Xenopus tropicalis: one gene and its partner. The protein of the gene in region 1 interacts with the protein of each later gene in a pairwise test. Links are inferred from orthologs where the notes say so. Each region holds a gene or a part of one and is shown on either strand. Other genes may lie near its edges.

Evidence for each region.
Region 2: the proteins of pias3 (region 1) and sumo2 interact in a two-hybrid assay, tested with the Homo sapiens proteins (2 studies listed by BioGRID). The link is inferred for Xenopus tropicalis from reciprocal best matches to the Homo sapiens genes PIAS3 and SUMO2.

Annotation. Positions count from the first base shown.
Region 1 is NC_030684.2:141,818,978-141,823,161, reverse strand, and holds the start of pias3 (E3 SUMO-protein ligase PIAS3), read left to right. Parts: upstream 1-1,369; 5' UTR 1,370-1,929; intron 1,930-4,184. UniProt on the Homo sapiens protein: Functions as an E3-type small ubiquitin-like modifier (SUMO) ligase, stabilizing the interaction between UBE2I and the substrate, and as a SUMO-tethering factor.
Region 2 is NC_030686.2:44,411,130-44,415,231, reverse strand, and holds the start of sumo2 (small ubiquitin-related modifier 2 precursor), read right to left. Parts: upstream 2,832-4,102; 5' UTR 2,822-2,831; coding exon 2,801-2,821; intron 2,091-2,800; exon of another isoform or gene 1,854-2,090; intron 1,507-1,853; exon of another isoform or gene 649-1,506; intron 47-648; coding exon 1-46. UniProt on the Homo sapiens protein: Ubiquitin-like protein that can be covalently attached to proteins as a monomer or as a lysine-linked polymer.

The DNA.
Region 1 (4,184 bases):
TATCCCGGCTCCCAGCATGCCCTGCTGTGTGTATATATTATCCCAGCTCCCAGCATGCCCTGCTGTGTGTATATATTATCCCAGCTCCCAGCATGCCCTGCTGTGTGTATGTATTATCCCCGGCTCCCAGCATGCCCTGCTGTGTGTATATATTATCCCGGCTCCCAGCATGCCCTGCTGTGTGTATATATTATCCCCCGGCTCCCAGCATGCCCTGCTGTGTGTATATATTATCCCGGCTCCCAGCATGCCCTGCTGTGTGTATGGCAGTGTGTGTGGGGGGGCGAGGTTGCCAAGCAAGCGGATCTTCTCCCAATATGCCCACATTTAGGGCTAAACTACTGAATTACAACGGTGGGCACAGGCATAGAGATTGGGGGCCGCACCCACAAGCTGATGCCGTCCCTGATCCAATGGAAAATCAAACCCGTGAGATCGAGATCTAACCAATCATAGGCCAGATATTGGTCGGGGTGCCCATCGGGGTGTGCGGCTTTAGGCTGGGCAGGAGGTGTAAGAGCTGCTGGTGCGGCTGAATGAGCAGATCTTTGCCCAATTTGCCCAATGATGCACTGATGGGATTGTATTGGGTCCTAGGGAGACCCACTGAGACTCATGTGGCCCCAGTTGATCTTATTATCAGCCACATACATAGTTACATAGTTACATAGTTACATAGTTACATAGTTACATAGGGTTGAAAAAAGACCTGTGTCCATCAAGTTCAACCCATCCAAGTAAACCCAGCACACCTAACCCACACCTACCAATCTATACTCACATACATAAACTATAAATACAACCACTAATACTAACTGTAGATATTAGTATCACAATAGCCTTGGATATTCTGATTGATCAAGAACTCATCCAGGCCCCTCTTAAAGGCATTAACAGAATCTTAAAGGCATTAACAGAATCTTAAAGGCATTAACAGAATCAATACTGGTCACACAGGCCACCCGGAGGGCCCCACACATTGCCAACTGGGTACCGAGGGGCAAGTTATCAGCCCCAGTATGGCCGCTATCAGAAGGGTTCGGGGGGTTAATAGATTTCTGACCAATACAGACCCCCCATTCCTAGTACCCAGGGCCCAACAGCCCCATGGGCACAAACTCACCCAGCAACTCCCTGCAGCCTACATGTCTAGTTATACTCCCAGCACCTTGTGGCAGTTCCAAGCTGGGAGAGAGATTAGTTCAACTACATTCCTGCCCCTGGGAGAATAAATGACTATTTACTCACATCCCTTTGGGTTGGTATAAAAGTCAAGTTTTCAACAATAAATTCTAGAGTTCCAGCCCCCTGCAATCCCGGCAGTGGCCGCTAGGGGCAGACTGGCCGCGCCGTGTATTTCCTGATTCAAGCTCGTTCCCGTAAAGTGAAAGTCCCGGGAGTGGCCGCTAGGGGCAGCCTGGCCGCGCCGTGTATTTCCTGATTCAAGCTGGTTCCCGTAAAGTGAAAGTCCCGGGAGTGGCCGCTAGGGGCAGCCTGGCCGCGCCGTGTATTTCCTGATTCAAGCTCGTTCCCGTAAAGTGAAAGTCCCGGGAGTGGCCGCTAGGGGCAGCCTGGCCGCGCCGTGTATTTCCTGATTCAAGCTGGTTCCCGTAAAGTGAAAGTCCCGGGAGTGGCCGCTAGGGGCAGCCTGGCCGCGCCGTGTATTTCCTGATTCAAGCTGGTTCCCGTAAAGTGAAAGTCCCGGGAGTGGCCGCTAGGGGCAGCCTGGCCGCGCCGTGTATTTCCTGATTCAAGCTCACTCCCGTAAAGTGAAAGTCGGGCAGCAATCGGGATATTACACCGGACTCCCCCGGTACCGCACCCCGTTGGTAGGGGGGTTTATTCGTGCATTGCGGATGGCAGTGTGGCCCTGAGAGGGGGGTGGGACTGCTGGAAGCCCCCGCCTGACTGAAGCCCTTCTGGCTGTGGGTGAGTACAATGCCGGCGGGGTAACGTGTCCGTCCGCAGGGGAAGTTCTAGGGAGCCGCCGGGCCGCTTTGCGGTTAGGGGAGCGGGGAGGGAATCGGACGCGGAATCGGACGCGGGCTCTTTAAATTTCAGGCGGCTGCACGCTCGCTAACAAAGGCGCCTCCCGGGGCCCAGCTTAACCCTGTGTGTGCCGGGGGCTGTAACCCTGTGTGTGCCGGGGGCTGTAACCCTGTGTGTGCCGGGGGCTGTAACCCTGTGTGTGCCGGGGGCTGTAACCCTGTGTGTGCCGGGGGCTGTGTGTAACTGTATCGGTGCTGTACATCCCGGGGTTTGTATCACTCCGGAACCGGGATCCGTTACACTGTGTCCCCCTCACACCATGTGACCCCCAGCTTCTGTTATAGCCCCATTGCCCTCATATGTACCTACCTCCCACCGTACCTACCGTCTTATATATCTGTATATACATATTACCCTATATATCTGTATCCACTATACATACCTACACGCTACCCTATATATCTGTATCCACTATACATACCTACACGCTACCCTATATACCTGTATCCACTATACATACCTACACGCTACCCTATATATCTGTATCCACTATACATACCTACATGCTACCCTATATATCTGTATGCCACTATACATACCTACACGCTACCCTATATATCTGTATCCACTATACATACCTACACGCTACCCTATATATCTGTATCCACTATACATACCTACACGCTACCCTATATATCTGTATCCACTATACATACCTACACGCTACCCTATATATCTGTATCCACTATACATACCTACATGCTACCCTATATATCTGTATCCACTATACATACCTACACGCTACCCTATATATCTGTATCCACTATACATACCTACATGCTACCCTATATATCTGTATGCCACTATACATACCTACACGCTACCCTATATATCTGTATCCACTATACATACCTACACGCTACCCTATATATCTGTATCCACTATACATACCTACACGCTACCCTATATATCTGTATCCACTATACATACCTACACGCTACCCTATATATCTGTATCCACTATACATACCTACATGCTACCCTATATATCTGTATCCACTATACATACCTACACGCTACCCTATATATCTGTATCCACTATACATACCTACATGCTACCCCTATATATCTGTATCCACTATACATACCTACACGCTACCCTATATATCTGTATCCACTATACATACCTACACGCTACCCTATATATCTGTATCCACTATACATACCTACATGCTACCCTATATATCTGTATCCACTATACATACCTACACGCTACCCTATATATCTGTATCCACTATACATACCTACACGCTACCCTATATATCTGTATCCACTATACATACCTACATGCTACCCTATATATCTGTATCCACTATACATACCTACACGCTACCCTATATATCTGTATCCACTATACATACCTACATGCTACCCTATATATCTGTATCCACTATACATACCTACATGCTACCCTATACAGGTCCTTTTCAAAAAATTAGCATATTGTGATAAAGTTCATTATTTTCTGTAATGTACTGATAAACATTAGACTTTCATATATTTTAGATTCATTACACACAACTGAAGTAGTTCAAGCCTTTTCTTGTTTTAATATTGATGATTGTGGCATACAGCTCATGAAAACCCAAAATTCCTATCTAAAAAAATTAGCATATTTCATCCGACCAATAAAAAAAAGTGTTTTTAATACAAAAAAAGTCAACCTTCAAATAATTATGTTCAGTTATGCACTCAATACTTGGTCGGGAATCCTTTTGCAGAAATGACTGCTTCAATGTGGCGTGGCATGGAGGCAATCAGCCTGTGGCACTGCTCAGGTGTTATGGAGGCCCAGGATGCTTCAATAGCGGCCTTAAGCTCATCCAGAGTGTTGGCTCTTGTGTCTCTCAACTTTCTCTTCACAATATCCCACAGATTCTCTATGGGGTTCAGGTCAGGAGAGTTGGCAGGCCAATTGAGCACAGTAATACCATGGTCAGTAAACCATTTACCAGTGGTTTTGGCACTGTGAGCAGGTGCCAGGTTGTGCTGAAAAATGAAATCTTCATCTCCATAAAGCTTTTCAGCAGATGGAAGCATGAAGTGCTCCAAAATCTCCTGATAGCTAGCTGCATTGACCCTGCCCTTGATAAAACACAGTGGACCAACACCAGCAGCTGACATGGCACCCCAGAC
Region 2 (4,102 bases), on another chromosome or scaffold:
CCACTTTCAGGTTGATGTGGTCGTTGTTCTCGGTCTTAACACCTTCCTAAAAGAAGTAAAAAGTGGAATGAGTGCTGGGAAGGGGCATCATGGCACAGAAACACTGGTAACGCTTGTGGTTATTCATCCCGTTGTGAGAAATGAGCTCTTTGCACCCCATTCTAGAGAATACTTTGGCACCAAATGACAAAAGAACTCTAGTTATATTAGATCTGGCCGGGGACCATGCTACATTTGGTAATGTGTTCACAACGCACAAGAAGAAAGATGGGGAGCACAGAAGTTATAAGGCTGCATGTCATTACACAAAATACACCAAATGTTCCCTTTAGAACAACAGTCACTGCTGGGAGCTACAGTTCTGGAATGTTTACTGACTGCACAGGCATTTAACTTACAACTACACTCACAAAAGCTGGTCTAGCCCCTAACCTCATCGTATATATTAGCCTTACAGTACGCTTGCCTGTGTCTCTAGGTCCCCAATTAACAGGTCCCAGTGATTAAGAGAGCAATATCACATTGAGGGCCAGTATGCAGAATAACATGGTACTGCTTCACAGTGTCACAGACCCTGAATCTAAAGACTTAATACAAGTTTAAAAGTTCTCAGAACTTTCTTTCCACTGTGCCTAATGCACCTTACCCTTCCTGCTTCTAACACGTGTTCCTCCATTACCTACACTACTTCCTCAATTCTAAAATTCCTTCCATACTAAGAATTCTCCTTCCTTAGGTCGAAGACACACAGTAGTAGCAGCTACTTGTCACAGCTACTAAAATATTCAATGCCAATCAGTTACTGATAATTCTCTGTTTTCGCAACGCTCCATACTGTCTAAGGCAGGGGATTTTCTGGTGTTTTGTAGCTGTAAAAAATTAGTTGCTGCTAGTAGCTCAGTGTGTCTTCACCCTTATGCCCCTTACTCTGCATGGAATGCCCCCAACATAACCTAGGCTTCTGGCCAGTATTAACTCTATTTAATGGCACTGAGCCCTGCATACCCATTTTCCCACCATTAAGCTCTCCCATAATACTTGCCCTTCTCACTGGCCAGAGGCTACATCTTTTCCCACTCAACATTCTTGAATTCCTCTCTCCCCAAGTTACCTCATTCCCTAAAGTCAATGCCCCCAACATACCTGGGCTCAGGGCCCCCTAAGCTCCCAATTCCCAGCCCCAGTATATGCCCCCAACATACCTGGGCTCAGGGCCCCCTAAGCTCCCAATTCCCAGCCCCAGTATATGCCCCCAACATACCTGGGCTCAGGGCCCCCTAAGCTCCCAATTCACAGCCCCAGTATATGCCCCCAACATACCTGGGCTCAGGGCCCCCTAAGCTCCCAATTCACAGCCCCAGTATATGCCCCCAACATACCTGGGCTCAGGGCCCCCTAAGCTCCCAATTCCCAGTATATGCCCCCAACATACCTGGGCTCAGGGCCCCCTAAGCTCCCAATTCCCAGTATATGCCCCCAACATACCTGGGCTCAGGGCCCCCTAAGCTCCCAATTCCCAGTATATGCCCCCAACATACCTGGGCTCAGGGCCCCCTAAGCTCCCAATTCACAGCCCCAGTATATGCCCCCAACATACCTGGGCTCAGGGCCCCCTAAGCTCCCAATTCCCAGTATATGCCCCCAACATACCTGGGCTCAGGGCCCTCTAAGCTGCCAATTCCCAGCCCCAGTATATTCCCCCCCAACATACCTGGGCTCAGGGCCCCCTAACCTCCCTATTCCCAGCCCCAGTATATGTCCCCAACATACCTAGGCTCAGAGCCCCCTAAACTGCCAATTCCCAGGCCCAGTATATTCCCCCCCCAACATACCTGGGCTCAGGGCCCCCTAACCTCCCAATTCCCAGCCCCAGTATATTCCCCCACAACATACCTGGGCTCAGGCCCCCCTAATATCCCTATTCCCAGTATAGCCAAGGTCGCCCATTCCCATTTACTTCCCATCTCCCAATACTGGCAGTGCCCAACATACCCTTCCCCAGTGCTCCCTGGTTCCTGTCCTCCCTTCCCCAGTGCTCCCTGGCTCCTGTGCTCCCTTCCCCAGTGCTCCCTGGTTCCTGTGCTCCCTGGTTCCTGTGCTCCCTTCCCCAGTGCTCCCTTCCCCAGTGCTCCCTTCCCCAGTGCTCCCTTCCCCAGTGCTCCCTTCCCCAGTGCTCCCTTCCCCAGTGCTCCCTTCCCCAGTGCTCCCTTCCCCAGTGCTCCCTTCCCCAGTGCTCCCTTCCCCAGTGCTCCCTTCCCCTGTGCTCCCTTCCCCTGTGCTCCCTTCCCCTGTGCTCCCTTCCCCTGTGCTCCCTTCCCCTGTGCTCCCTTCCCCTGTGCTCCCTTCCCCTGTGCTCCCTTCCCCTGTGCTCCCTTCCCCAGTGCTCCCTTCCCCAGTGCTCCCTGGTTCCTGTGCTCCCTTCCCCAGTGCTCCCTTCCCCTGTGCTCCCTTCCCCAGTGCTCCCTTCCCCTGTGCTCCCTTCCCCAGTGCTCCCTTCCCCAGTGCTCCCTTCCCCAGTGCTCCCTTCCCCAGTGCTCCCTGGTTCCTGTGCTCCCTTCCCCATAAACCTAGTGGGCCAATGCAGTGCAGCCTCCCATAACCAAGCCCCGCTAGTATGGGCGTCCCTCTCCCGGCTGTCTCCCTACGGGCCCCTCCCGTACCCACAGAGCCCCCGCACAGCCCGCAGGCCGCTGCCCCCTCCCTTTAGCGCCTAGGCCTCTCCCTCCTCCTGCCCCGCACCCACTGCCCCCGGCCCCAAGCCCGCTATGCGACCCTTCCCTCTCCCAGCCCGGAGCAGGACCTTGGGCTTATCGTCCGCCATTGTCAGTTCGCTCCCGGTGCCCGGTACTCTCGCTGCTGCCTCCTCCTCACAAAGAGCCTGAACTGGCGCGGGACGTGGAACGAGAGCGCGCACGTACGGAAAGGAAGATTTGGCGCACTCTCTGCGTGCGCGCCCCCGCCGCTATTTCCACTGTAGGGAAAAGCCCGCCTTGGGGAGCACGTGGCGGCGGGGGCGCGCATGGGGGGAGGGGTCTGACTCTGAGGAGAGTCAGGGTGAGGTTGGGCCGCATTGTACCCGGGATTGGCTAAATCCCTTCCAGTGACTTCATTGGCCTAGTCTCATAGAGGGGGCAGGAGCCATGATAGAAGCTTCCAGAAACAGCCCCCCCTATAATTAAGCCAAAGGAGGAAGCCATACCAGTTGCCATACCAGTTACCTTTTCACTAAAACTTTATTTTGATCAGTCCTGCACTTAAGGGCAAATGCCCATACCTGGTGCCTCTTACCTTCCAGTTTGTGCCTGTATGTTACCCAACCACTTAGATTGTAAGCTCTACGGGGCAGGGACCTCCTTCCTACTGTGTCTCATACCCCATGGCACTTACTCCCTGTGTATTTATACTTATTTATTGAAATTTATTATAACACTTGCCCTACCTGTGGGTAATTGTGTATATTGTAAGATTGTACAGTGCTGCGTATCCTTGTGGCGCTTTATAAATAAAGTTATACATACCAAAAACATAGAGAAGCTAACCATATCCAAAGCTACCAGACAAAACATAAAAATCATATCCAAACCATATCCAAAGTTACCAGACAAAACATAAAAATCATATCCAAACCATATCCAAAGTTACCAGACAAAACATAAAAATCATATCCAAACCATATCCAAAGTTACCAGACAAAACATAAAAATCATATCCAAACCATATCCAAAGTTTCCAGACAAAACATAAAAATCATGGAAGGTGGCTGCCCTTTTAGGGACATAAAATACAGCCATTTCCCAGGGTGGGACTGGACGAGCGGAACGATAGGAGAAAAACCGTCTGTTGAGGTGGTGGACCCCACACACCTCATTCCAACACTGGGATTTACTGTCTTTCTTCCCTATTTACTGTTAATAACACTGACAGCCTTCTGCTCCTCATAGTTACCCCCCCAAAAATGAAAAGGCCTAAAACCCACCCAAAATTGCCTAGGGTACAAGCAGTGCATATTGGGACATGGTTATAAGGGCATTTATTTTCTTTCATTTGGAGTTTGCTTGTAAGGTGGAGATCTGTAAACAACAAAGGGATGACAATACAAATG